Linked DNA regions of Astyanax mexicanus. The protein of the gene in region 1 purifies or fractionates together with the protein of each later gene. This does not show direct contact. Links are inferred from orthologs where the notes say so. Each region holds a gene or a part of one and is shown in the gene's direction. Other genes may lie near its edges.

Region 1 (9,909 bases):
TCAAACCAAACTGAACTGCTTGAATTTTTTTAAGTTATCAAAAAGCAGTGTGAAAGACTGGTGGAGGAGAACATGCCAAGATGCATGCTGTGATTTTAAACCAGGGTTATTCCACCAAATATTGATTTCTGAACTCTTAAACTCTGTCTTAAACTCAATGTTTTCTTTGCATTATTTGAGGTCTGAAAGCTCTGCATGTTTTTTGTTATTTCAGCCATTTATCATTTTCTGCAACAAAAAAAATGCTCTAAATGACAATATATATTTTTTGGGAATTTGGAAGAAATGTTGTCCAGGGTTTATAGAATAAAACAACAATGTTCATTTTACTCAAACATATACCTATAAATGGCAAAATCAGAGAAACTGATTCTCTTAACTGGTCTCTTAATTTTTTTCAGAGCTGTATATATCTTATACACTCATATGGATCTTTTAGCCTGACTTGCTGCTTTACGGTGCAATTAGATTCAAATAATCACTTCCATTGTGATGCTGGCCAGTAACAGGCATCTGGTGGTAGATGCATCAGAGCTGGAGGCAGAAGAGGTGATGGCAGAATTCATATGAAATGGAGCCTAAAGAAAACCACAATATGCCTAAAAAAGTCTTCAACATAATAAGACGTCATCTCAGGATCTACAGAGACCAATTCATTGTCTGAAAAACAAATCATTAGGGTACGAATAAAGATCTGTTTAAAGCACATAGTTTCTACTACTCTGTGCCATCTGCTTAAAACATGCATGTTGCTAGCATGGTTGTCATAGCCAATTAAATATGTTAGTGTGTTGCAGAAAAAAATGCCTTAAGGGTCTTAAGAGAAATTGTTGCGAACCTAAATGTTCTCTTAACAGTCCCTTTAAAATATTTAGGAAACACAAAACCTTAACATCAAATGCCTATATGTTAAAGTTAGTTTATTATTTAAGATTTATAATTAAAAATTCTGTTTTGAAATCTTGGATAGAGGAAAAAATAGAGTTTAACATCAAATCTTGAATACACAGGACTGTGTAAAAACTATTCCTATTATGAATATCCGCAGTATATAAACTATTTAATAAACACAATAATAAAAGCAAGTGTTTGTAATAGTCATTTATGGGTTGCTTAGAGAACCACAGGCTGTTTTTGTGTTTTCTGTGAACTCCAGTCACTGTATGGCTGTGTTCAGAACCATCATGTTCATGCATACAGGCCACATAAATGATCCCAATGCACATGTTGTATGATGTAAATTCCAGGAGTCTGTGTCTTCATGAAGGGTCTTGATTCTTTTTATAAATTGCTAGTTACACGCTTGTAATTTAAAAAGCAGAGAATCTATGCCCAAATAGAAAAAAAAAGATTAAAAGAACACTTGTTTATGTTTACCCGATGCTGAACACAGGGTCACATACCAGTCAGGTGTATATTGTGTATTTCTAGCTTTTCTCTTTCTTGCAGGTTTTTATCTACATCTGCAGCTTCACAATTACATGGGTTATCATTTGAAACATGGCCAAGCAAATACAAGGTTGCCCCCTACAGCGAAACAGATATTAAAGCTGAGAAACTCCTCTCTTCTCTTCAAGAAAAGCAAAGAGCTCAGTTTAATCTGCCTGAATGTCAAATGCATCTTTAATTAATACACAATACAATATAGTCAAATACACATTTTATTATTTTTTTCAATAAAGTACAAAATGTGTGTATATTAAATATTTTTTGGGTTTACAAATCTTACAAAAGAAAGAAAAAGTGTTTTACATTTGCTGCAAAAAGACAAAAATTATGGTGTCAAACAACTGTCTGACCAAATGATAGCAAGTAAGAAAAGAGAGTCAGAAAATGAGAAAGAAAACAACCAAATTTAGTACAGGTTCGTCTTCTTCATTATCCGTAAGAACTCCTGTTCATTGATTTCTCCGTCTCCATCTCTGTCCGCCTCATCTATCATTTCCTGACAAAGAGGAAATGAGTGTTAGAATAATGTGAAACAATATGACGGAATACAAACAACAAAGAAAAAATTTCCCTGATGCCACCAAGGTTCTTGATCAAAAAGATCAAATCAGACAGGATTTAGTCTGTACTGAGTCACTGTAGGCACACCAAGCCCCAGTTCATCCTGTCTAGTGGAACATGATGACACAGACCTTTGTTTTCACACAATACTGAGGGCATCACTGCTTGCATAAACAACATTACTCCAGAAATACAAAGGGACATTTATTATTATACCACATTTAGTCTACCCGCAATACAATTGGCCAAGATATAATATTATAGTAGTATTTTAATTAAAGCTCTTTGGGTATTACCCTGCCACATTATAATTGTTACACTGTTATTCATATGGTGGGCATACCCAACATTAATACAGTTAACATTTAAAAAAAGAGCAATACTGTTGTTAGATAGGTACAAGTATTGTACACTGTGTGTTTTTTAAGACCCATAGATCAGCCAATCAAAGGGAGCACCTGCTGCACTATATAAGGTGGAATAGGTAGAGATAGAGTGGATGAATACTGAAAGTTTTCCTTTTTAACAGCTTTAGGAGTGTGTGCGCTGATTAAAATAATCTGTTCCATCACCTTATGTTTTGGCTATTTCTTGTCATTCTGATGATTGGGAAGTCTGGGAGTCTGATTATCTTTATCTGCTTTGAAGAGTTAACGTACATAACAGAACTGAGGTATAATCTCAATAAAACACTTGAGATTGGTGCTGTAACGTGAGGTACGTGTAGGTGTACAGGTTATAGCAAGCCCTCTTGTGTATTAATGCTTATTTACCAAACTCACCTGTAATTCCTCATCCGTTAGATTCTCTCCAAGCTCTTTGGCGACTCGTTTAAGATTTTTGAATGAAATTTTGCCTGTCCCATCATCGTCAAACAATCGGAATGCTTTTAGGATTTCTTCTTTTGAATCTTTTTCACTCTGTATTGGTCAGTAAGCAATAAAGCACAATATGCAGAAAGATTAAAGAACATAATCTGGATTTGCTGTACATGCAGTATTTGCACAGTATACTAATTTACTTCACAGAATACCTTTCTGATATATAAAGTTTCATGCAAATGTTTGGGCACAGCTAACTAAAAGAGCTGTTGTGAAAAGCTCAGTGAGTAAAGGATGACCTTTCCTCTAAAAGGAAAAAAGTTAAAGAAGACAGTTTTCATTAATATTTAAAAAGACTAATTTTTACTTCCTTTCTTACCGTTTCAAAAAAATGCAAAGGTGAAATATTATCTGTGACAAAAACTGCAAATCCAAAGCATGATCAGTTCGACTCTGTGCTTTACAGTTTGAGTTTGAATTTGATTTCTTCAAATTCTGGAGAGAAGTACATGGCTGCTGATTGTTGAGACAATATGTAAAGCTTTAGAGTTTGCATTACATCAATTTTTTAATGATGACTGCAACAGCTCCTTTCCCTTTCTCACTGTAAATCAAAGAGTACATAACAAATAATACTGTAATCCTGATTACATTTTTTTACAAGAATTATTGATTCATGCCTTTTGAAGGGCAGTTTATGTTCTACTCACTTTACATACATTTTTTTAGACATTTCACATGTTTGCTTATTTAGACAATTTACCATTTTCTGGGTCATCATGGAGAGAAAGTCATTGAAGTTGATGGTGCCTGAGCCTTCTTTGTCAATGTCAGCAATCATCTTTTTTATCTCCTCCTTTTTTGGCTCAAAACCAAGAGCACGCATAGCAACCTGAATGAGATAACAAAAAGACACAGATCTAATTACCTGATCTGGGGTGTTTTACACTTATAGTTGATTTGCTGTAAATCAATTATCAAGTTTGTAAACCCCTTGGTTTGTTTTCACACAGAAAAAAAAACAAGTGAATTAACTAAATACATATTGTTTCTCGTTTTCTCCCCAATTTAGAGGGCCAATCACTCCCTTCATCACTAGTTATGCCCCTAACACTAGGAGGGTAAAGATCAGGCTATGTCTCCTCTGATATATGTTAAGGCACCAACGGCCTCTTTTAAAACTGCCGCCTTTGCAGCATCAATGGATAGGTAGGAGAGCAAAGTGTTGGTGACATCAATTTGCATGCCCTTACCTTAAGCTCCTTAACATCAATTGTGCCTGAACCATCAGTGTCAAACAGATCGAATGCTTCTCGAATCTCCTGCTTTTGTTCCTCTGTTAGATCCACTTTGGGACCCCCTTTCTTCCGCTGGTTTGCCGTTGCACTGGGTTTTCTGAAGCTGGATGCCTGCATGAAACATAGGGAGGTGAAGCCACTGGCTGTAATTTCTCCTACAACTGTATAGTTCACTAAACATTAAATTGCACATACAAAAAATGAAGATGTCACATGGCAAGCAGACTTACAAATACAGTGGCAAGAACAAGTATGTGAACCCTTTAAATAGTATGTGCACTTTTAATTCTCAAGTGCAGTCACACAGACAATCAAAAACTTTATGATGAAACTGGCTCTCATTAGGACTGCCCCAGTAAAGGAAGATGAAAAACTATCTCTGTTGCACAGGCTAAGGTCATCAGAGTTATCAGCCAAAAGCCCCCTAAATAAGAACCACCGAAATGCTTCACAGAATATTGATATGTTTAACACTTTTTCATTTTACTACGTGATTGCTTGTCATGCATTCAGAGAGTAATAAAAATGCTGGCTAAAAACAGCACCAACCCAGTTATATTCCAGTAAAAGAAAAATATAAAAAAAATGTTTTGCAATGCACACAAAAGAAGAATCTAATTGAAATCTCTAATATAAAGTCCAGTTAAATCCAATTAACTAAATATTTAATTGTTTTGTCCATTGTAATGGAGGCCTTTGTTTAACATGTTTATTTTATATTCGATATTTCCTTTTTTATGTCACAAACCATTTCTACACAGTAACTACTACTGTTTCTGTGGCTTGTAAACTTTTTAATTGGCTGGTTCTTGCTCTATTCTGATGGACAACAATGAGTCTCAATTAGTATTATGTAACAACACAACATTAAAAAGGAAATACGTGATGTCCATTGTAGCAGACGCTGAATTTAAAATGGTTAACTTATTAGCTAGCTACTTAGCTGCCACCTTTAGAATATAGGTTAGATAACCTAGCTTAATTAACAAAGGAGCTAGGTTCTTGAGTTAACCTAGCTAAGTAGCTGTGAGCTTGCGTTAGTTAACGTTACTGTTACCATAGGAGACCAGCGTTAGCTTCACTAGGCTAGTTAGCTAGCTTGCTAACAACAACATCTGTCAGGTGTTCACTGTTTGTAAGTTACTAGCTAATTTAGTCAGAACTAGCTAACTTACATATAATACCTTGTGTTTTTGAGTAAATGAGCAACTTATCGACCGTCTTACCATACTGAACGTGGCGTATCCAACAATAAATGCTACTTTTCAGTGTAAAACCAGCGAAAATACTACTCCGCCGCAACTCAACTTTCTGATAGGCGTGACCACCAAATGATTGACAGCAAAGCACCCCAATAAGAATCTAGCTCAAGCCCACTATAACAGAGCGCACTGCCAGCAGACCAATCAAAATGTAGTATGGGCGGGCCTTCAGCGCTTGATCGGCAACTGCGTGCTCGTTTGGCAAGTCTCTTAGCAACAAGCGTGGATTTGGGGGCTGACCCCCAGTGCGCATGTGCGCGGTGGCTCTGTGTGTAATAAGTAAAGCTGGGTCCGGAGTTAACAGAGCGGTATTTCTAGAGCTCTGTTAATCCGTATATAAACTGTATGTCTCGAATTCTCGCCTCAGCGATGTTGATAAAAGGTTTGTTCGGTTTTTATGCTCTTTGTTTTTATTTTTCACAGGATTCAGCTGGATTTAGGGATAGCTAGTATAGCTAAAAGAGCTAACGTTAGCTGGCTAACTGGTTAAGTCACCTAGCGCTAGCTAGCTAATTCAGCTAATATCAATGTAGAAAAAGAATATATATAGCGAACTAAAGCGGGTTTCTATTTAATACATTTGATTCAATGTGTTTTATTTATTTCATGGTTCTTTTATATCGTAAGTAAATGTTGAAGACATAAAGAAACACGTGTTGAATTATTCTGTAAACAAAAAAGTTTTAAAGTATAAGAGTATAATTTACTCTAGAAATAGTTACAACATTTAGCTTTGAGGACAGATCTGCACACTCTTGGTATTTTCTAAACAATAGCTGCTACTTTTCCTCGTGTGCTCCAGTTGGGTTTTGTTTTTTATTTTTTGTTTGCTACATAATTCTAATAATTATATAACTATTTTGATGTATTTTTATATTAATATACGACGTAGAAAATGAGTTAATAAAAAAAGAAATAAACGCACTAAATGACAATGCTACTGTAATATTGCATTTTTTAATAATTTATATAAATTTATAATAATTTATATTATTTATAATATAATTTATAAACCACTGTCTCAGTTTTTCACACTTTTTTTAATGACCAGGACCCCACAGAATCAGTGTAACGTTTAGCAGTTTAATTTTCTAACCGTATCAAGCTCCATTTAAAAATAAAAAAATGGGTATTGAGCTTAATCTTTTTTTTTCAATTCAGGTTAGTAAAGAATTTTTTTTTTATCCAAATGTAGGTTTTATCTAGGTTTTCATTTTAGCCTTTCGCAAACAGAATTTCAAGAAAAATTTAAAGTTGAATCTTCTCTTGATTTTACAGATTTGTCCATTTTTTTATCTTGATGTTATTATCCAACTTGCAAAATGCAAAAATGAAAAAATAAGAAAATAATTAAAAAATAATAATAATTTAGATTTTTTCCATAAATTCCGATTGTGAGGGGCAGAGATGAAAAAACAAAATTTGGAAAAATTACTGAAAATTGATTACACCTAATGTACTCCTTTATGTCTCTCTAATACACAGATGTCAGCTCTAGGAAGTGGAGCAGTAAACCAGGGTCGACATATTGGTCTCCAGCAGCTGGAAGCTGTGGCTGCTTCCACCCATTCTTTTTTGGGTCCTAACAAACGCTATAAATTCATCCAAGATGAGGCGACTGGGGAGTCTGCACTAGTCTGCTCCTGTTACCGTCTACTGGAGCAGCTGGAGCTTAGCAGCTCTGTTGGGCAGCTGCTGCACGAGACTGTTCGGGCCCACCAAGGGACACTGCACTCGGGCACTGGGACTGTGGTCTTCCTCGCAGGGGTCTGGAGCAGAGTGGCCCTGGAGTGTCTTCACAAGGGCATCTCCATTCCGCACATCATAGCTGGCATGTCAAAGGGCTTGGACTTGTGTGTGGAGGTCTGCAAGCGTAATGCGGTGACTGTGGAGGAGGGGATCTGTAAGAGTGCTGTACAGAAGCAAACGAATGGCTTATTTACAGGACTTTTTATAGATACAGGAGTGAAGAAATCAACTCAGGATGGTGGTGTTAAATCCATAAATGGAGTTCTTAACCAAGAGAAGCGTCCTCTAAAGCACAGAATAAAGCTCAAGCACAGCAGGCACTTCAATTCAAGTAGTGCAGGGGCTGAGGAAACACACTCTGTGGACTTTACATCACCAAATTTACACCAAAAATGTTCAAAAACATTAGACTTAACTCCGCTAGCTGAAGCTGTGAGCCATGGATGTGAGGCTTCCATGAGGTTAGTGATGGAGGCTAGCAGGATTCAGTCTACATATGTCCCACAAGGTCACAGCAGTCACAACTTTCTAGATGTTGATAGATTAGTGACATGCCCATTGCCAGGGCTGTCTGAGGAACATTCCTGTGTACTCCATGGGTATGTTGTGAAGTCATGTAGTGTAGAGCAGGTGTCTCTAGTCAAGCATTTCGAAGAGCGGGCGTTAAAAATCGGCCTTATAAATGGCGACCTCACTGAGTCATACCGCCATGTCGGTTTCAACAGGCCTAAAAATGTCACATACATTCATGATTCGTGCATCTCCACAGGAGTCAGTGTAGAGCAGGAATGGATGGACCGTGCATTGAGAATACTCCTCAACCTCAGCATAGACATTCTCCTTGTGAATGGAATGGTCACTTCACAGCTTAAAAGCCACTGCCTCAGTCACAACATCCTGGTAATTGAGCATGTGAAGGTCACAATTTTGAACAACTTCGCTACAACTACTGGAGCTGTTTCTGTTTCTTATGTCACACAGCTTAGCGAGCGCTGTGTGGGATCTGGGGTCCAGGTTAGCGTGCTGAGAGACTATCAAAATACACTGAAGACAGAATCGTCAACCCTTTTGAACATTGTAGCTAGTGCAACTACTCTGGTCACGGTGATCATTACTAGCTCAGTTCATGCTAAGCTCCAGAGCCTGGAAGATCAGTTCTGGAGCTGCACCTATCGTCTGCATCATGCACTCAATGACGGAAAGCTGCTGCCTGGCGCTGGAATGACTGAACTGCTGTGCATTCGCCAGCTGTACAGACATAAGGATGTATCCCAGAACAGTAAAGACAGACAGAAAGATGTAGCACCCTATGAACCAGTGATTCTGCAGCTGATGGCAGAGGGCTGGATGGACTATATATCCACTCTCATGTTCAATGCTGGTCAGGTTACAGCCAAAGCACACGCATGGACACACATAGCCCAACACCTGAAGGAGTTTGAGAGCAAGAGCCTTCCAGGTTGGCTGAAAAGTCCTCTTAAAACGTATAGTAACTCAACAAATGCAATACAAGGAAAGGGAGACCAGGATAGAGGCGAGGGGACAGTGGAGAGAGATGAAGTGTATGATAATATGACCGTGAAGTTTGAGGCCTGGAGAGGAGCTCTAGATCTGGTGTTTTTGATTCTACAGACAGATACTGAGATTATTACAGGAATAAATGAGAGTGATAGTCAGTTTAGAGATGTCATGTTTCTGTAATCTCTCTGAACTGGTAAAATGTTAACCCTATGTGCTGTGTCACATTTTGTTATTTAAATATACATATATATTTTGTTTGTTTATTTATTTACTTGTACTTGTATTTAAACACTAAATAAAGTTTCAATCTTGTATACTGTTGGCATCTGGAATACTGTACGTTGGGCAAGAAAAAAACTTCACCACTAACATTACACACATCTAATTGTCAAGTGTTAACCCCTTGGCAGGGCTTTCTAGTGAGAACCAACTTTCAGTAACATAAAAACTGCATCTGATAATGGTATTTTGTTTTGTCACACATTCAAACAGCAACACAACAAGCTAAAATCTTTTTAATGGCTTACTCCCTCCAACACATATATATATATATATATATATATATATATATACGCATGCTGTCCCACTACAACAAGAACAAAAAAACATCAATCTTCTTCCTTTTGACATAATTCAAAACTACTGTTTTTTTTACATTGACCACCAGAAAGTTCTACATTCATTTACATTTCCTTACTCTTGTGTAAAGCAATTATTTGGGAGATTTCTGTAAGATTGATCTGGAAATTATACTCATGACTGTAGGGCAGAATAGAAGAAACCTCATTTTCATTCTGTTCTTTTCACTTTGTTTCAGTAATGCAAAAACTTCCTCTCTTCTATGGCCGAAACCAAACATAAACAGCCAAGCACTGTTTCAAAACAAAACCACATAAACACTCTCATGACCTCTGCAGTCAACACAGAATTTCCAAAGGCTCCAGTTTGCTGTAATTTACTTTTAATATGATGTAAATTTGATATATTCTCTCCAATGTGTTTTAATGTTGTTATTAATGGACCAAGACATGCTCTAAAATCACATATACCAAAGTCTTGTTACACTAACTGCAGTCTCCATCTGCAGTAAATCATGTATGCTTTCATTAATGAAGAGTATGTTCTTAAAAGTATCCAGATATGTGAATTATGTAAAATAGATTTTCCCTGAGTTTATAGGTGTAAGGACAAAGGCCATGTATCTCATATGTAAGGAATGCAACATATATTATCATTGTGAAAGCAGAG
Region 2 (10,575 bases), on another chromosome or scaffold:
TTGAGATGTTTAAAGCTCGGGAAATCTTTTTGTATCCGAATCTGGCTTTAAAAACTTCTCCACAACAGTATCTGGGAACTGCCTGGTGTATTCCTTGGTCTTCAAGATGCTCTCTGAGCTTTAAACAGAAATACTAGACTATCACAGAGCAGGTGCATTTATACGGAGACTAGATTACACACAGGTGGATTTTAATTATCATCATCAGTCATTTAGGTCAACATTGGATCATTCAGAGATCCTCACTGAACTTCTGGAGTGAGTTTGCTGCACTGAGAGTAAAGAGGTTGAATAATATTGCACGCCCCACTTTTCAGTTATTTATTTTTAAAAAAAGTTAAAAAATATCCAACAAATTTCGTTCCACTTCACGACTGTGTCCCACTTGTTGTTGATTCTTCACAAAAAAAGTAATTAAAATTTTGTATCTTTATGTTTGAATACTTTTGCAAGGCAGTGTAAAATGTGTGATAGATGGGAATGTGCTGGTGTAAGAAGGGAACTAGATAAAGGTTTAATTAGAGGAAATCTCAGCAGCGTGGTGATGGTACTGCTGGTTTAATGAGAGGGTGATTTGACGCTATTGTTCGGAGGTTCAGGGTACTGTGTGTTTCTGTGGTTGGGTGTCGGGCATGAGCGATTCTTTCCCAGGGAAGAGAAACACAACAGTATCATTATGCTCAGACTGGGAGGACGCGAATGCACTGAACTCGTGTGGTTCTCCCACAATGAAAAAGAGAGAGAGAGAGTGGGAGCGCGAGAGCGAGATACGATGGAATGCATGTGTAAGAGTGTGTATGACAGAGAGCCAGAAAGAGAGGGCGAGAGAGAAAATCAAGAGAGAGTTCCTGTAGAAACTGAGAGAGAGTGTGATTACAGATCAGCAGTGGGGCTGTGATACACAGGCATGGCTGAAATTGTTGGCATCTATTACATTTTTTTCACTGTTGGCGGAAACAACTGTAATCAATCTTTACTGATAATTAATAACGAGTCTCTGTGGAGGAATTTAGTTCCACTCTTCTTTACAGAATTATTTTAATTCAGACACATTGGAGGATTTTCCAGCATAAACATCCTGTCTTTAGACTTTAACTAGACCCTACAAACCCTTCATTTAGTTTATTCATCCATTCAGAGACAGTGAACTTGTTGTTTGTGTGTTTTGGGTCATTGTCCTGCTGCAGAACCCAAGTAGTGCTGAGCTTGAGATCATAAACTTGTAATGTTGTGTATCCAGAACAATTGGCCAAAATGTGTGGTACAGAAACATTTGGAAATACAGCTGTGTAGACTATTTCAAGAAGCTTATTAAAAACCTCTGTTTACATCCTATAATGCTAGCTTCAGGTCAGAGCACCACCATTACTGTACTGTACTGTATAATAACATACAGCACAGTAATGGCGGAGCTCAGAGCTTGTTTACTTTTTAAGTTATTAATGCCTCGTTTTTAAATGTCAGGACTCTCTGGATTCTAGCAAGGAGGTGTGGAGCTACTTTGAGCTGGATAACGGTGTAAAAAGCGATTTATCAGGGTAAATTATGCCCCGTATCACCCAGTCTGAAGAGTGTTTGGATAAACTGTTAAAATTACTAGATTTCAGAACACTGTGGGAGAATGGAGGTGTGCTATTCATCAAAGGTAAGAACTTTTTATCATGTTTTACTACAACAAAAGTCCATTTTACACCGGAGTTCTCCTTTAAGAAGAACAATAGTGTGTGTGTGTGTGTGTGTGTGTGATCTGAACTAATGGCCGGAGTTTTGTGAGCAATCCTGTAAGAAATGAAACACCACAAAAGAAAGAGATCCAGGGGTTTCCCAAAACTCCACACAAACATCTGATCTGCATTAGCCTGACGTCCATCCAGCCAAACAGCGCAGACAGACGGACAGACTGCCCAGGAAGATGAGAGCCTGGACAACAACACCCCTGATTACCTAAAGCCGAGTCTGAGACACGACCAAGCCAGAGATTTAAAACTTACAATAAAACACTAAACTCGCCTCCATTACTGCGGTAACGGCTGCAATTACACGTACTATACCCAGAGGACGTTTCATTTATCAGATACACATCATCATCATCATCATCGTCATCATCATCATCATACTACAAAACCTTCCTCTATAAGCCTATAGATTAAAGCTGAGCAGCTCTGAGAACTGTGGGCCAATCTGTAAAGCAATCCTGACCTCTAGTGGTGAAAACACAAAGCGCATCTTTAAAAAAAATTAATAAGAGAGCACCTAAAAGTGATGAGTTTCTTTGATTTTAGCAAATTGAAAACCTCTGGAATATGATCAAGAGAAAGATGGATAATCACAAGCCATCAAACCAAACTGAACTGCTTGATTTTTTTGCACCAGGAGTAAAGCAGCATAAAGTTATCCAAAAGCAGTGTGTAAGACTGGTGGAGGAGAACATGCTAAGATGCATGAAAACTGTGATTAAAAACCATGGTTATTCCACCAAATATTGATTTCTAAACTCTTAAAGCTTTATGAATATGAACTTGTTTTCTTTGCATTATTTGAGGTCTGAAAGCTCTGCATCTTTTTTATTATTTCAGCCATTTCTCATTTTCTGCTCTAAATGACAATATGTTTATTTGGAATTTGGGAGAAATGTTGTCTGTAGTTTATAGAATAAAACAACAATGTTCATTTTACTCAAACATAAACCTATAAATAGCAAAATCAGAGAAACTCTTCATTTTTTTCCAAAGATATATATATATATATATATATATATATATATATATATATATATATATATATATATATATATATATATATATATATACTAATTTGTTAATAGAACTGACCATGAAAACCTGAGAACTTAAAGCCTGAGCAATAATAGCTTAGAAAAGATATTTGGCAAGAAATAGTATGTGAACTCCTTGGAATTTCATTCCAGTTTTCTGCATAAGTGTGTGCTTAAAATATTAACACAAAAATGATGTTCTTGCAGGTCTCAAGTGTACATTTCTCTTCAGGTTAATTCATAGGATCCGAGACAGATCTGGGCTCTGACTTGTTTTTATCAAGCCATTGTCTTGTGCACTTGCTCTGGTGTTTTTGTTTTTGGGTCATTGTCCTGTTGCATGACCCAAATTCTACAGAGCATTTTAGCCAGTACCAATGATTTGATACATTTTTACATAGTTTGCTTTACTGTAGACTAGTGAATTTTCCTTTTTAAACACTTTTTAACCCCTTCCAGCTTCATGTAAATAAACAATTTTTGATCATTGATCCTCTGAAAGCTCTTTTTGGTTATTTATGGCTCACATATGCAAATCCTTCTTGTGCAAAGTGTTTTTTTATCAGTCAAATTAGTTCTAAACCACACCTCCAAACTAGCAAAACTTCAGGTATGCTAACACTTAAAACTAATGAGCTATTTCGAGGCCATTAACACAAGGGTGCACTATGAGTTTTTTTTAGGGTTGTTCTCAATAAAGACAATAAATAATCATATTTTTTGTGATTTTTTTAGGCACATTATATTTGTCAAAACCCTTGGCTTGGGTGAGGACCGGATTACATTTTATGACAGAATTATTCGAGAAAACATGAAATTCCACTGTGTTCTGGCACAAAATGTTTTGTTTGGTTGATTTTTTTTATTTATTATTTATTACATTTCAAACTCTTTATTCTTACACTTAAGGCAGAAAACTCACCGCTGTGTGGGTCATATTAAATACATTATATACATTTCCATAAATATAATCTGTAGTATAGCTGTAAATCTGCACCTACCTTTATCACAAACTTGGAGAGCTGCATTTCAAATTACCAGCAGCACCTGCAACAAAAGTATTATTAAAATATCTGTATTTCATGATTCAATTAACATTAAATAAACATCAGCTGATAAATCTATCTGGTGTAGTGAGGTCAGTCCTATCTATCTATCTATCTATCGATCTATCTATCTATTTGTATAGGCACATACAATAAACTGTACTGTTTAAGAAAGAAAGAAAGAAAGAAAGAAAGAAAGAAAGAAAGAAAGAAAAGAAAAAATAGCCATTTGCTGTGCTAAAGCTTTTTTGTTTCATGATTATAATTGTTTCTTAAAACCTCAAAACATTTTTAAACATTTTTTTTTCAGTTTATTGTAAATATTTGGCTACAATGTATTATTTATTATTTAGCTACTTTATTGAATGGATATATGTTTTTTATTCTTTAAAGCTTCAAGTTAATACAAAGAAATCACAATAGAAAACAGCATGAAAATATAGGGAGAATAGGAAAACAAAGAAAGATTAACAAGAGGTCAGTGAGAGCTCATCACAGGTTCTTACAGTTTTTTTTTTTTGTTTTTTTTTACATTTCCTATTGTTAGCAATTCTGAATGATTTCAAAAGTGAGGTAAAATCTAGTATAAAATATAACAAATTTTGGTATTAAGGTCGAGTATTTACATCACTGAATTTAGTGTTTACTTAATAAAATAACAATATTAATAATATACTCTATATCTAGGTTATTGTGTGGAAAATGTTGGTTTTCTTCAAAAAGAAAGAGGCAAAGTCTCACCAGAATTTAGAAACGATAGAACATTCAAGAAAAAAGATGTGATACTGATTCATAATCCGAATGACAAAAGGAGCATTTAATACTGTATGTATATTTTTTAATTATGCAATTTTCTCATTCGTAGGATCTATGTTGAAAATGTTATTTTCAAATGCACTTCCCTTGCTTTATTGAGGACACAAAATAACATGCTTTTTTCCTATTTATATCTGGGATCATGGTATTCAAAAAAAAATCCCTCTAGGTGTAACATTTTTTTAAATGAAACACATTCCTTATTGATTTATTATTATTATTTATTATTATTCTTCTTATTTTAGGCCGAAAATACAAACACTGCCTACTAAAAACTGACGTTCCTCTTTCCTGACCTTTTCATATGAAATCTGACCTTTCATAAGGTGAATAAGACAATTTGGGATCGCTTTTATGACAGAGTTGAATTCCTTATAAACAACAGGGAAACAGTATTTACTCATAAAATTACAGTCGGTATAAAGGTTCCCCTCCTCATTAAATAAATCAAGCAGATAGTCTATTGCTTTACTGTGCAAGTTCTCAAGATAAAGTGATTTACATCTTATCAGCATTAATTCATTATTACATAACTTTGTTTTCTGAGGGGAGAAATTGTGTACAAACCAAAGCTTCCATGCTGTCTGTCCGTCTGTCTAGTATGATGAGGTCAGTCCTATCTGTCTGTCTGTCTGTATAGTATGATGAGGTCAGTCCTATCTGTCTGTTTGTATAGTATGATGAGGTCAGTTCTATCTGTCTGTCTGTCTGTCTGTCTGTCTGTCTGTCCGTCTGTCTAGTATGATGAGGTCAGTCCTATCTGTCTGTCTGTCTGTCTGTATAGTATGATGAGGTCAGTCCTGTCTGTCTGTCTGTCTGTCTGTCTAGTATGAGGAGGTCAGTCCTATATATCTGTCTGTCTGTCTAGTATGATGAGGTCAGTCCTATCTATCTGTCTAGTATGATGAGGTCTGTCTCCCTGTCTGGTGTAGTAAGGTCAGTTCTATTAATTTGTCTGTCTGTCTGTCTGTGTATTTGAGAGTGTGTATTTCAGGTGTATATGGTATAAAGGTCGGGTTTACCGGGTGTAAAATGTAAATAAGGAGGTGAAGTTGAGCAGCTCGCGACGCGCAGATTCACATCAAAGCAAACAGGCAGCTTCCCGCGCTTCTCAAAGCGTCACGTGACCTTCAGGACCCCGACGCTGCCAGCGTTCCTATAGAAATCGCGGGTGGCTGTAGATCTGCCTGCGCGGACTTTGGAGGAGAGATATAGAAAAATATATTATAAATATATATATTTTAGATAAGATATATATTTAATTTATTTCAGTTAATGTGTTTTATGTTGTTTGGTCTGATAAATCTGTTATATTAGCGATCGAGAGGCGTTGGGCAGTTACCTGGGAAACAGACGCTAAGTTTATTACCAGTAGTGTTGCCAGATTTTTTTTTTTTTGCGAGTTTTGTTCTTTTTGCTAATTTGTATATAATATATGATATCTGTATGCCTTTATTGAAAACGTTTTTTTTGCTATTTAAACTCTTCATGTCCAGGTGGACGGAGTCTGTTAAATTGTAGGTGTTATATGGTAGTGCATATAAGCACATACAATAAACTGTACTGTTTTATAAAGCAGTGGAAATAAATAATAGGCATTTGCTGTACCAAACAAATTCGTTTTTTTGCTTTTTTGTTTTAAAGCCTCGAAACCGTTATTAAACCAATGTTTAGGTTAGTTGCAAATGCTCTGTTACTTCTAGGCAATTTATTATTTAAATTTCAGAGATTTATTATGGTGAATATTCGGGATTAAATGAGAATGGTTTGTCTGGAGCTTTTTAGAGCTATCTGGCAACCCTGAGTTGCCAGCAGCCTGAGCTAGCGTTAGCATGCTGAGTGTAAACTCAGCGACTCTGCCAACTGACAGACAGACAGACAGACAGGTAGACAGCTGTTGCGGGTAAGAGCTGGTTTATTACTGTGGGTTACTGTAGGATTTATTCCTCAGTCTAACAGTCTGTGGTAACTGTAGCTAAATAAACTCGCTAAGCTAACCGCTATCTAAGCTAACTATCTACTGTCTGTATGATTTACCAGCTAAGCTAAGCTAAGCTAACTGAACATCTAACCTATATATCCCATATTTTACCATAGCTTAGCTTAGTTTACCTTACTAACTGCTTAACTACTGCCTGTCTTTCTTTTTCCATCTCTTTGTTTCTCCATCTCTCTCTTTTTCTCTCCATCTCTCTCCCTGTCTCACTCTCCTTCTCTTTCTGCCTCTGTCTGTCTCTGTCTTTCTCCTTCTCTCTCCTCTCTGTGTTTGTCTCTCTGTCTGTCTGTCTGTCTTGCTCTTCTCTCTTTGCCTCTGTTTGTTCCTCTGTCTCTCTCTCTCCATCTGTCTGTCTGTCTGTCTCACTCTCATTCTCTTTCTGCTTCTGTGTTTGTCTCTCTGTTTGTTTCTTTATCACTTGTTTCAATTACAAAGAAACAAATTCAACAGTAATTACAAATTTAGTGATAACATTAGAGAATTAGAAATATTAATAATTTAAAACTGTAAAACTGTCTCTCTCTCTGTATGTGTCTCTCTCTCTCAGTAATGAGTCGTGTGTGTAAGAAAGCGGCGTCTCGCTGCACGGACGATCCCCTGGCTGTACCTGAGCTCTGGCAGAAGTTCGCCGTACTGCGGCTGATGCTCTCCTCCTGCTATGGTCCACGCGGCAGGTTCAAACAAATTCACAACAATGTGGGAGGACACGTTCTGACCACCTCTACCTCCTCAGTGTTACTCAGAGCGCTGACCTTCTCAGAGGATCTTCTGAAACTCGTAGCCGGGGCGGTTATTAACCACGCGGCACGGCTCGGAGACTGCGGACTGTTCACGGGAATCGTCTGCATTAACCTGGTTCAAAATGCCAGGGGGATGAACCTCAGCGCTGCTCTGGCAACCCGGGTGTACAGGCACCTGTTAGCAGAGTGCAGGAGGTACCTCAGGTCGGAGAGCTGCGGCTGCAGGGTGGAGGTGGACTTCAGCAACGTCCAGACGCTCATAACTTTAGCCAGAACTGTGATCTCCAGCAAGAGGGTCTGCATGCTGACGCCTGAAGAGCTTCAGCACATCAGCTCTGTAACAGTGCAGGCTTTCCTCCTGTCTGTCCCGTCAGCTCCATCAGACTCATCACACTCATCAGCTCCATCAGGTCCATCAGAATCATCAGAATCACCAGGCAGAAGATGCTTTGGTAGGACAGTGACCATACCGTTGGAAGGTCTGCCGGTGGGCGACTCGGCGGTTTTCCCCGGCTTGTTGCTGGACCTGCCGGTCCTACAGTCTGGAGATCTCCAGAGGTTGGGTCCCGCTCCCTATAAGATCGCCCTGTTCAACATGTCGCTGTCCGGAGATCTCTCAGACATGGAAGATGCAGCGCTGGAGATCCACGCAGGACTAAACCCAGACCAGGTTCTGCTGGACCAGCTGCTGAAGCTTGGAGAGCAGGTGGTCAGGGATGGTGTGGTTCTGTTCGTATGTCAGAGAGTGATCCACCCGGTGCTGCAGCAGTACCTGAGGGAACGTGGGCTTCTGGTGATCGAGAGGCTTGGAGCTGCTCTCGTGGAGCCGCTGGCTCAGATGACGGGTATGAACATGATAATGTTTCCAGTAGGGCTGCAACATTTAGTCGATATAATCGACAATGACAATTATTTAAATTTGTCGACTACAAATTTCATTGTCGACTAATCGTTCATTTCTAACAGTACTGCGTTACACAAAGTGCTGGAGACAGAAGAAACTTGGTCTGTGTCTCCAAAAGTGCCCAAACACAACAGATTACATATGTATTCACTAAATATCAGTACTCTCCACATTTAAACAATATGTGGACATTTAAATATCTTTTAAATCTCATGTTTAGCTGTTTTTCTGTTGTTGTTAGAGGTGGAGGACATGGCAGATATAATCGCTGACTAATTGACTAATCGAAAAAATGATCATCAGATCCAAATATAAACCAATAATAATCATCAGATCCAAATATAAATCAAAATAATCATTAGTTGCAGCCCTAGTTTCCGTACATATTACTTTAAAAACATAGTAAAACATAAAAAACCTGCACTATGGACCCATATATGATGAGTTCCCCAGTTTCTGACACTTACTGTCAGTGTGTAGTCATTCTCCCCGGGATACATTAGGTAAACTTGTAGCTCATACAGCTCTGGAAAAAGTTTTCTGAAAGTTCTCTGATTTTGCTATTTATAGGTATAGAAAATGAACATTTTATTCTATAAACTACGGACAACATTTCTCCTAAATTCCAAATAAAAATATTGTCATTTAGAACATTTATTTGCAGAAAATGAGAAATGTTCTTATAAGTTCAGAAATCAATATTTGGTGGAATAACCCTGTTTTTTTAATCACAGTTTTCATGCATCTTGGCATCAGGTACTCCTCCAGTCTAAAAAGTTTTCAATTTGGTAAAATCAAAGAAATTCTTATTTTCTTTTTTCCAGTGCTGTTTATTATGATGAAGTGTCTGGTCTCTGTGTTGTCGGCTGTAAGAACAAGCAGCATTTTCTGAGCTGCTGATTTTGTGTTGGCTGTGTGCTTTACTGTTCACTCTATAGCACTTAAATGAAATCAAAAAGAAGACTAAATACAAATCTGATTAATTAAAAAAGAATTAATGAAATTAACATACAATTGAGGCTTAGTAACTATAAATAAACAACTATTTAGGTAAATAAAATGTATACATGCTTTTAATGTATCAGGATAAAAGTTTTTAACATGCAGTATATTATTGTGTATAATTATTGTGATTTATTAGGAAACACATTTGTTGTCATTTTAAGCACTTAACTGTAAATATTTATCTATATCCCCACCGTGGGATTAATGAAGGATTGTCCTCTCTTAATTGATCAGATAATAGCTTATCATAAAATAATGCAACTCCACTCATTTGAAAAGTGGTTAAGTTTCTAAAAATGTTTAAATATTCTACATAGGTTAATAAATCAAATAAACCCTATTTTTAAATAAAGTCGACTTACAGTCAAGTTAATTGTGGCTAATATATATATATATATATATATATATATATATATACTTTATTTAATTTGAACTATTTTTTATCTTATTTGGACTTTACTTAACGTAGATCAAAATATTGGCAAAAAATTCTAAATGTCTAAATTCTGAAAATATTTGCATCTGGGCTGGTATGTTTTATTATTACAAAGCAATATATTTCAGCTATTAATGTAAAACGTAAAAACGTGTTAAGAGTGTAGTACAAAAACGCATCTGTGTAGTCTGCAACAGGTGTTACTCTCGCTCTTCCTTTTCTGGGGTGGTCCTGATGAGTGCCAGTTTCATCATTACAGTGTTTCTGATGGTTTTTGAAATTCTTCTTTTCAGATTGACTGAACTTCATTTTCTTCTTTATTTACTTGAGTAGTTCCTGCTTCTCATAATCTGGATTAGAACATTAGTCAAATATTCACTATTCACTGTATAGCTGTAACTCTACCTCTTCACAACTTTACTTTAACTGATGCTCTCAAACACATTAAGAGACAAGAAATTCAAGTAATTAACTCTTGATGAGTTCAGCACAGCTGTTAACTGAAAGCCTGAATTCCAGGTGATTCTACCTCATAAAACTGAATGAGAATAATCTACAATACAGAACGTTTTAAAATACTGAAAAAACACTGAATTCAAGGTGTGTTCAAACTTTTGACTGGTACTGTACTCTGTATTTGTATTTAAAAACACTGTTATGTGTTTTTTTTTAGGAACCACAATGATCTCGTCTATCTACTCTCCGATCCCGGCCCAAGCGTACGGCCTGGTTGGAGGACTCCGCCTCCATCACAGAGCATCTAAAGAGCTTCTCCAGCTCCTTCCTTCTGGAGATCCAGCCCTGAGCACCGTGCTGCTCTGCCACAGGAACCAGACCATGCTGGAGGAGCTGAAGGTCA
Region 3 (9,899 bases), on another chromosome or scaffold:
CCTGTTAGCACATCACAGCTCTGGTTGTGTAAGGAGAAGTTAATGACGTGATCCAGAGGTGAAAAGAGCCTGTCTATGATAGTGTATGGCTGAAGTAGTGAAGCAAGGACACATTATGATTCGTTAACCTCACTGACCTCTTGGCACGGACATTCATTGATCCCTTTTCCAGGAACATCTGCCTTTGACATGAACAATATTCCAGCCTCTTTGACTCAATTAGACAAGAAGAAATCAAGTTTACATGCTTGGTTGTTGTTGTAGGCTACCAGATCTGGAGGATTCTACACACTGGCAGAAAGATGATGCACAAGATGACATGAAAAAAACAACAAGAGTAATGCAATGACTGCAGTGCTTGTATTTTATTGTACATTATTGTTAGCATGTTTATTAGAGTTCCAGTATTAATAAGTATTAAATACATTGCAAACATCTAATTCTACATACAGTGTTTCAGTATGTCTAAAAAGCACATTGCCACAAGATAACACAATAAAAATCATGTTATTTTACGTAAACAAAAACAAGACATGTGATCATATGTGGAAAACAATATAACCATGTAAAAAAAAACATGATCATGATCACTTAAGGAAAACAGTGTGGATCACTTGGGGAAAATTATCACATAAAAACATGATCATGTATCTCTTGTGATAAAAATGTAATAACGTAGGGAAAAAAATGGTCAGATCATAAAAAACATGCTTACATGTGGGATTATGTGTAAACAGACATGCTCACATGTGGACAACATTTTAGTCACGTGGAAAAAAAGTGTAGTCACATCTGGCAAACAGTGTGGTCACGCTGGGGGGGGAAATGTGATTAGGTGTGAAAAACAGTGTGGTCACATGAGAGAAAATATAATCACATGTGGAATAAAATATTTGATAATATGGAAAACAGTGTGGTAAAAAAAACATGCTTTTATGTGAAAAAAGTGAGAAAAACATAACCCAGTGAGTTTTTAACTGTTTTGTATGTTTGTTTATTTTAACATCAATTATCTTTGTGCATGTTCTTTTAGAAAATTGCTGTTTATTTGTCTAACAGTAGCTCTGTTCAATAATGGCAAATAATTTAGTTAAAATAAAATCTTTGTTCTTCTTCTTAGCTGGTAGGAGATTTGATATATGTGTTGCAGCCGGTAAAATGAAGATAGTAAAACTTAGGACATATAATTCAGCAGCCATATATATTTACCAATGCGCATTAAACATATTGTAATCAGAAACAATACTGTGTCCCGAGTAATGTTCCAAATATTAGGGAAAAAATGGCAATATAAAGTCGAATTTATGATATAAAATCAGTTTATGAAGAGCCTACCCACATTCTTCTCCGTTTTATCAGAAAATTACTGTGAAACAATAGAGGGAGCCCACAAGTGAGTCCAAAATGAATAGGGGTGAATAGGGGAATTAAAATGAGCAATATCCACCTGGCCAGAAATTTTCTTTAATTTTGAAAAGCAAAATAATATAAATAAATAATAAAATAATGTTGCAAAAAAGCAAAGAAAATGTACCTATACTTGTCCATTTGTCTAGAGCAAACGGGTTTCAGACAACAGACGTGCTAGAATAACTGCTGCTAGTGAGCTGGGCTCGGTAGCTAACCTAATTTGGTTGACTAGCTATAGCAACTTGCTAGCTTAAGTAACTCAAATGATAGTCTAATGTTGGCCAACTACTATAAAATCACTACACAGATAACCTAACTGTGGCTACATAACATAATATTGGACACAAACTAAACATTTTCAGTAAGACAATAGAAACAATTAGCTTAGCTAACAGCAGATTATAGAGTATGATAAAGTTAGCTAGCTAGACCTGTCAGCCACACAGAAAAAAACAGCTCAGAAAAATACAGTTTATAGTCTAGTTTTACTTAAAGTAAAGCTTATAATTCACTCAATAATAAACAATTTGTATGGAATAATTGTATAGAAATCTTCATACTAATTTCTTCCAGATAAAAATAGGTTAGCTATCTGACAGCTGATGTTAATTAACGTTACTCCAGACAGCTCTTCTTCAGGTTTTCTTATTCACTGAACATTAACAGCCACTCAATCCAGCAGTTGGGTCCAGAAAAAGCCCAAGAAGAAATTGTGTTCTATTTAGGAACATAAACATGCAGTTTTTCATCTGAATTATCCTCAAAAGCTGGGAATGCTGGCTGGCTAGATTTCAGTGGTCAGTCTTGGACACTTCCAGAACTTCATGTTTCAGTCACAGGATAATAATCCACTCTGGTTGTCCAACATAGTTTAACAATATAAGATGTTTGTAAAGGCTTTTTTTGGCGAAAAATTACATCCAATGCATGATTTTCCATACTTGTCTCTCTTTCTCAGAAATTGTGACCCCTGAAGGACCCAAAGTGTGGCCCTCTGAAGGACCGGCTGGGGTGGAGGGCGCTGTTTCCTACAGAGTTCCTCAGCTGCTTCAGCAACATCCACAGTAGGAGCCCCATCAGCAGCAGCAGGAGCATGAGGATCCCCAGATACACGCTCACGTTCCAGCCCCATTCCATCGCAAGAGGCATAGAGGTGGAAGCCACCAGGAACTTCTTAGGAGCAGGCATCAGTTAGCATGGATTGAATGCAACCGCCCTGGTTCTTCAGGGGGGTCCCACCCCAGGGAGATGTTTAGGTTTGAGGCGTAGCATCCTTGGTTTTCGCATGTAGAAGCAGACCATCTTCTTTGTCCTCACATCTCCTTGAGGTCTGGTAGTGTCCTCTGCTGCTGGCAGAATGAGGCAGCTTTTCCAAACCCCTGCGTCTCTGTGTCTGAGTGTTGACCCCTCCCCTGGTGCTGAAGGACATTCATTGCCCTGACTTATGCGCTGGGGAAAGTGCACACACTCACACACAAACACACACACACACACGCATGCATATGCTCATTCTCAAACAGACTCAACAGAGGGAGAAGATAATATCTATGAAAACAGCTGTCTAGTGTTGTATCAGACCATCACACTGTGTCTGTTCAAGTGTCCTCATATTGCATGAGATTTATTCAATAAGAGAACTGACAAAATGTTCTCGGCATCATCAAGACCAGATGAAGGCTGTTACGGCAAGAGCATTTTGTCCATATTTTTTGTAACCTGCTTGATGATGAAGGCTTTGTGCACGCTGTTGCATGAATTTGCTTATAATTAGGATAAATAAGCCTATGAAAAAAAATCATGAAACCCGTTAATCAGAAGCTTACATTGCTTCTAATAAAATATGCATGTTCTCTAATGCACATCATCATTCATAATATGATCATAATATTTCTTTATAATATTTATTAATATAGACTTACTCTTACGCAGATTAAAAATATACACAAAGATATGTAAAAGAAAGAACATGACAACATTAGATATCTTTATCAATACCAAATCTCAAAACTTAAAACTTAAATAAGCAAGACAATGCAGTTAATTCAGAACATAATAAGCATGATAGGGTATTGCAAGCAAACACACCCACATATAGACCTATGTATGCAGTTTAAGCCTTATAAAAAATGACATTCACAGATAAGACAACTAGGTAAGACAACTAGATTAGATAACTTTATAAATCCAAGAGCAAAATCCACAAATTGCAGTAGTCTAATATACAGATATGGCAAAGAGATCAGTAAATCAAATATATTGATTTGACTACACAATGTGTACACAAGTATAGAACTTTATAAAGAATATAATAAATAAATAAATAAAAACTACAAAAACAGAAAATTTATTCATTTTATGCAAAGTGCAAGTTAGGGTGGCAAGGTTAATTGAATGAATTATTATTTTCAAAATGGGGTCATTTATTTCAGTAATTCAGTTAAAAATGTGAAACTCATATTATATAGATGTATTGTACCCACAGTGATCTAATTTAAGCATTTTTTTTATTGTTTATGATTATGTCTTACAGCCAATGAAAACCCAAAAATCAGTGTCTAAGAAATGTTGAATATTATATAAGACCAATTGGTCCTTTTGGCAGTGTGGGCAGTGTACCAAGTCTCGCTGGAAAATGAAATCCATATCTCTATAAAAGTTGTCAGCAGAGGGAAGCATGAGCTCTGTAATAAAATAGCATAGCGAACACTTCCTATGCAGCTATACGGAAGAACAATAACATTTGTAGATTCTTAAACCATGTGTTCAGTTTAGTAAATTATTCTCTTATTTGCCTTTTTGAAACATTACCCCAATCTGACCCTGCTTCTTTTGGAGTAACTGCATCTGCTGTAAGGAATTGATTGCAACAAGAGCATTAGTGAGGTCAGGGTGTTGGATGATCACCATCCCACCTTATCCCCAACTTCCTAATTTATCACATTGCATAACATTCTTTAAGGTTGAAGAGGGAAAAAAACATTAAAGCAACCTTTATTTAACATTGCCTAATAGCCAATAGTTAATGTTAAAATTCTGATGTTGAATCATTGTTCATTCCAGTTTTTGAATGGTTGGGGCTCTGAATTCACACTTACAATGATTTTAGGTGTACAGTGCTTCCCACAAGTAATAGTATTGAGTGTATTAAATCAGATGTCTCTAAAAATAATTTCCCACTGAATGGGTGCCATTTGCTTGTTGTAACTCTTCCAAATTAAACTTATTTTTTTTCAACTCTGAATCTAATAACACCTGTATGTAACTATTCAATACATGTACTGGTCAATCTTAGGCAGCTTTACAAGGTTTCTAAGCTGAAGATGGTTACAAAACTCATTTGACATTTAAAAAGCATGTTTAAAAGCAAGTCCACTAATTCTTTGATTGATTTTCTCTCAAGAAAGCGTTTATTTTAAAGAAATGGTTGACTGTATGTTCAAATAGTTGATATTAATGACAAAAAAATTACACCTGTTACTGGAACTCAGTCCTGTTTCTGGCACACATTCCTGTTACTTTTATTTGTTTTAAGTAACAGGAATTAAAGTAACAAGACTGTTTTTAGCATAGAATTAGCAAAAACATGAAAAATAGCTAAATAGCAGCAATGCCAATAGCATGAGGACACTGAGCACATTCTAGTGATTTTCCCACAATAAGATCTAAGAATTAATTTAGGTAACAGGACAGAGTGTTGAGATTGACCTCCTCAGTCATAGTTACAATAAGATCAAATATACAAAAAAAAAAAACTAATGGGGGAACTTAATTTTGGTCTTCTCATGATCTTCAGAAGAACCATCTGATGTAACTTTCTGTTGTAGATGTGTAGCGTTACAGATGTTTCAGATGTTTTACGGTAACAGGAATGAATGAAACCCAGGGACACATCTAAAATGTTTTTAGTTCTTTTATCTTAAGTATTATGGACTTACAACAATGCAAAAAATTACATCTCTGAAAAATTGTAATCATTATTTTTCATGGTAAAGTTTATAGTTAGAGAGTGGGGACAGGTAACAAATGCTATTTTTTCAGTTTTCTAGGTCACTGGCTGAACTACAGTGTTGTTAGCCAATCAGAGTGGATATGTTTGCATGTATGAATATTGCGCAAATATATTCATGTACAAGACAATATGCTTCATAATAAAATGTATTTGAACGTTATTTTGTGTGCACATGTAACATGTAATTTCCTGGGGACAAAAAAGGAACACATTTGGTGGAATGGCTCAGGGGTCTGTACAGTTCAAAAGCACAAATAACAAAAAAAATCTGTTCTTGTGAGAATAAAAGTTTGATCAAAATATTTATTTTGATTAATTCTGATAAATTACTTATTGTTTTAATAATAAAAAAATAAAAGTCATAGAATGAAAAAAAATTAAATTATTGATATTGAATTATTTTTAGAGACCAAAAAAAACTTTTCCAGATTAATATGTATTTCTGCAATATTATTTCCTTTTTTTTTGCCTAATTTGTTTGTCTCCATGGAAACCTGGGATGCGTCAGAGACCAAACATGGCGGCGCTGAGAGGGCAGCTTGCTTAGCTTTGCTGGATGTTTATTAATCTATTCGCTAAGCTTTTTTGCTCTTCTAGAAAATGATATATAATACGGGCTAATGTCGGGTTTTTACCTCCTTCCAGAGGACTAACGAGCCGCGTTAACTCTCACACGAAGGAAAAATCTGTTTCTGCGGGTAGCATGTAAGCTAACTAGGCTTGTTATTTAGGTTAGCTTTAGTTAGCCTTCCAGCTAGAACCTGCGGGAGGAGCGAGGACAGTCAGCAGCACTTAATCCAGGAGTTAATCCGCTCACTGAGACACTGCATTTCTTTCAGACTACGTTTAAACCTCCGAGAAACTAGAGGAAACGACAGATACCTGAACTATCCGGCAGCACACAGCAGAAACACCCAGCTCTGAAGCTAATCGACTAATCAGTAACTGAGATTCCGTGATCTACAGCCAGCTACACCCACATCTGTGATCAAAACAGAGAAGATGGAACTTAGTTTAAACCACGTTGATTATCTTCAGGTAAGAAGCTACTTTTGAGACTCCAAACTATCCAATGCTATGTGATAAGTACTGAAAATTTAAACAGTAGTTATCATTAGTAAACTGTTCACCATGTTATTGGCACGAATAAGCAGGAGTTATTTTTTCTTATTTGTCTTTCAAGGTCGGAGTAACATCCCAGAAAACCATGAAACTGTTACCAGCAGTGGGACGAAAAGCGACACAAAAGGTAAGTTGACTTTTTTTATCTTTCAAATCTTGATCTGTATTACTGTTATGTTTTGGTAATGAATTGAAAGAATGTAGTTACAGAATTCATCAAACAATTGCTATCAAACCATTAATATAAAATTCTTGCACAAGTGCACATACAAAATGATGAAGCATGGCAGCCAAAACAATGAAAAAAATGGTAAAAAAAAAAGCAAATATAATGAACAATGTAATAAAACACATCATCAAAATCTAAAGTAGTTCTAAAACATTGTTATAATATTTTAGGTCCATATTCGCCCACCTCTAATCTAAAACACATTTTTTGAATTATAAAATGTGCATGGTATAACATTTTAATGGTCTCACTCCTTGTTTTTTTTTTCATTCTTTTTAAATTGTCTCTTGATCTCTACTATGAATGAATGCCATGTGAGCCGTTTTTTATGAAAGAAGTGCTCTGGTGATCCAATAAAACTGTGCTTTAATGTGATATCTAGTATGAATGAATGCCATGCGAGCCATTTTTTTTACGAAAGAAGTGCTCTGGTGATCCGATAAAACTGTCCTCTGGAGTCCTCTGGAGGAGTGGGGGGAATTTCGGCTCTTGCTCATGAAAACATACAAAAATCTACTCTGATTGGCTAACAACACTGCAGTTCAGCCACTAACCTAGTTTTAAAGTCTCTGTAAAATGCGAAATCCACCGGAGATCCTATGTAAACCTATGATTACATATGATTAGTCTTAGACTTAGTCTTAGCTGTAAAAAAGTGGGTGGATTTGCCCCAGGCATCCTTCTCTAAGCCAGGGAGTGTAATTAACTTTTACTCTACAGCAGTAAATACAAATCACACTACATGGAGCAGCTCTACATTTGGATTTTTTAACAAGCTGACATATACAAAAGCAGCATCTGTGAATGAGAAAGAAGCATGTGGGCTGAGCCCATAGAGTAATATTATTTATTTTATTTTTACACAAATATGGTTTGTGTTTGGTAGCATTTGTATTATGCAGCTCCACCAAAGTTACATTATAGCACAGTAACAACATTTCAGAGTGGCAATGTCATAGGCACCATTCTCCCTATTACACTCAGTGGAACATCAATACGATTCTGAAGCTGCTAATGTAAGATAAAATTGTTACATAATCTTGCTTTAACTGGATGTTTTTATTAAGTGTTATGTTTTTTTTGTGATTTCTTCCATTTAGGTTGCTGTTGCAGACCACGATGGTGTAGTGAACTGTTTCGGGATGAAAAAGGGAGAGGCTGTGGTGCGTGTTTTAATTATTTTAACATTATTGACTTTATGATGGTTCAAATACTTTATTCACCTATTGGAGATTATATAATTACTGCTAAAGCAAAAAAACTCTATTTTATCCAGCCTGTTTTCAAAAGTCTCCCAGGGCAGAAGATCTCCAGACTAGAACTGGGAGGAGCTTTAGGAACCCCTCAGGAGAAAATCTTTGTATGTTCTGGCTCTGAGGTCAGGGGCTTCACCAAAAAGGGAAAACAGTTCCTTTCTTTTGAGGCCAATCTGACTGAGAGCATTAACGCCATGTGAGTCATTATTTTTTCATTATATGCTCATTATATGCTTCATTATATGCTGGTTACAATGGATGTACGTGACCTGAACGTTAATATTTATACATTGTTGGCAGGCATGTTTCTGGAGCAGATCTTTTTGTCTGTGCCAGCTACATCTACAATCACTACTGTGACTGCAAAGACCAGGACTATTACCTGTCAGGAGACAAGATCAATGACATAGTTTGTTTACCTGTGGAAACAGTGGGCCGTACAGTGCCTGTTCTGGCCTGTCAGGACAGAGTTCTTCGTGTTTTACAGGTGATTGTACTGAATTTAACTCTTATCTGCCCAGCAGTTTAAATATCACCATTCAAAGCTAATAGAAGCCTCTTAGTATCAGGTGAATGAGACAATGCTAACTGGAAGTAGCAGTCCCTAAGATTTTGTCTTTTAAATTGAAAGTAGTAGTATTTGTCATAAGTGGGGGAATAAGGGGGAAAATATTCTAATGAATGATATCAGTGTTCCGGCACAACAATTTAAAAACAGAGTGGTCTGGTAGGTTAGTTGGACGTGATTAATCTGCCCATTTTGACAGAATTCTATAAATGAACAAGAACAAAACAATATACTCAAAAAATTGAATTTTACATAGCAATTTGTTTACATTAACCTGCATTAAAAGTACTGTACCACATGCTCTGTGCAATTACACATTCTCACCAGAGAGGCCTCCAAATCCTCAAAATTTACAGACTGTCACTTTAAACAAAATCCAGTTGAGCTTATCTATAAAAATGAGTCATCCACAATCTTTCCATGTGTTTCCTTTCTTCTACTCAAACATTCTTATTCACTCATAACATTTTAGTAAACATCTGATCCTATAGTACAGTATGAATTCTTGTTTCCTGAAGGGCTCTGAGCTGTTATATGATGTTGAGGTTCCTGGACCTCCATCTGTTCTGGAGCTTCACAACAGAGATGGAGGTGAGCCGTGAAACCTAGGTCTGATGCAGAACAGTACAAAATAGTAATTGAAATATGTAGATATGAGTGTGTGTATGATTGTTGACACAACGTATGTTTTATGTGTAGGTAAGAATGGGGAGGAGGTGCTGTATGGAACCACTGATGGGAAACTGGGTCTGATCCAGTTAACCAGTTCTGCTCCTGTCTCTAAATGGGAGGTGGACAATGAGAAGAAAAAAGGAGGTAGGGGCAAATCTTATAGACAGCTTTGTGGAAATTTAAAACAGTTTTGTAGGTGAGTTTACGGATGGGTGATATTGTAAAAATATAATGAAAATATCATATGTTTTTTGAGTGCACAAGTGATATTTAAAGACCTTTTCATAATATGCAATATTTATTGCAATATTTTTGGATGTAGACAAAATACACTAACTTAAAAATTTCTAACTAAATTTAACTTTTTATTTCATTATCTTCTTAAGGGGTGCTGTGCATCGATACCTTTGACATTCTGGGTGATGGTGTGAAAGATATTCTGGTGGGCAGAGATGATGGGACAGTCGAGGTCTATGGATTGGACAGCTCCAACGAACCCACGCTACGCTTTGAGAATGTATGTGTGACACTGACAGGTTAACACTCTCTGCTGATTTCAAAATAGCTGATCAGTGTTGTTTGATCACTAATCTGCATTATTCTGTGATCAAAAGGTTTTGTCAGAAAGTGTCA

The links.
Region 2: the proteins of bbs12 (region 1) and mkks purify together in Homo sapiens (co-immunoprecipitation; 4 studies listed by BioGRID and IntAct, counting the BioPlex papers as one, with this or other methods). This does not show direct contact. The link is inferred for Astyanax mexicanus from reciprocal best matches to the Homo sapiens genes BBS12 and MKKS.
Region 3: the proteins of bbs12 (region 1) and bbs7 purify together in Homo sapiens (co-immunoprecipitation; 3 studies listed by BioGRID and IntAct, counting the BioPlex papers as one, with this or other methods). This does not show direct contact. The link is inferred for Astyanax mexicanus from reciprocal best matches to the Homo sapiens genes BBS12 and BBS7.

What each region holds. Positions count from the first base shown.
Region 1 is NC_064409.1:65,591,898-65,601,806, forward strand, and holds bbs12 (Bardet-Biedl syndrome 12 protein), read left to right. Parts: upstream 1-5,630; 5' UTR 5,631-5,773; intron 5,774-6,876; coding exon 6,877-8,841; 3' UTR 8,842-9,038; downstream 9,039-9,909. Other genes in the region: uncharacterized protein cetn4, read right to left, coding at 1,856-1,945, 2,793-2,930, 3,595-3,723, 4,085-4,246. UniProt on the Homo sapiens protein: Component of the chaperonin-containing T-complex (TRiC), a molecular chaperone complex that assists the folding of proteins upon ATP hydrolysis.
Region 2 is NC_064432.1:14,241,227-14,251,801, forward strand, and holds the start of mkks (McKusick-Kaufman/Bardet-Biedl syndromes putative chaperonin), read left to right. Parts: upstream 1-5,900; 5' UTR 5,901-6,538; intron 6,539-7,178; 5' UTR 7,179-7,180; coding exon 7,181-8,216; intron 8,217-10,389; coding exon 10,390-10,571; intron 10,572-10,575. Other genes in the region: protein SLX4IP, read right to left, coding at 3,775-3,801. UniProt on the Homo sapiens protein: Probable molecular chaperone that assists the folding of proteins upon ATP hydrolysis. Plays a role in the assembly of BBSome, a complex involved in ciliogenesis regulating transports vesicles to the cilia.
Region 3 is NC_064417.1:25,282,898-25,292,796, reverse strand, and holds the start of bbs7 (Bardet-Biedl syndrome 7 protein), read left to right. Parts: upstream 1-5,910; 5' UTR 5,911-6,421; coding exon 6,422-6,457; intron 6,458-6,600; exon of another isoform or gene 6,601-6,602; coding exon 6,603-6,668; intron 6,669-7,870; coding exon 7,871-7,933; intron 7,934-8,046; coding exon 8,047-8,222; intron 8,223-8,326; coding exon 8,327-8,513; intron 8,514-9,112; coding exon 9,113-9,185; intron 9,186-9,293; coding exon 9,294-9,410; intron 9,411-9,652; coding exon 9,653-9,783; intron 9,784-9,880; coding exon 9,881-9,899. Other genes in the region: small integral membrane protein 43-like, read right to left, coding at 2,365-2,598.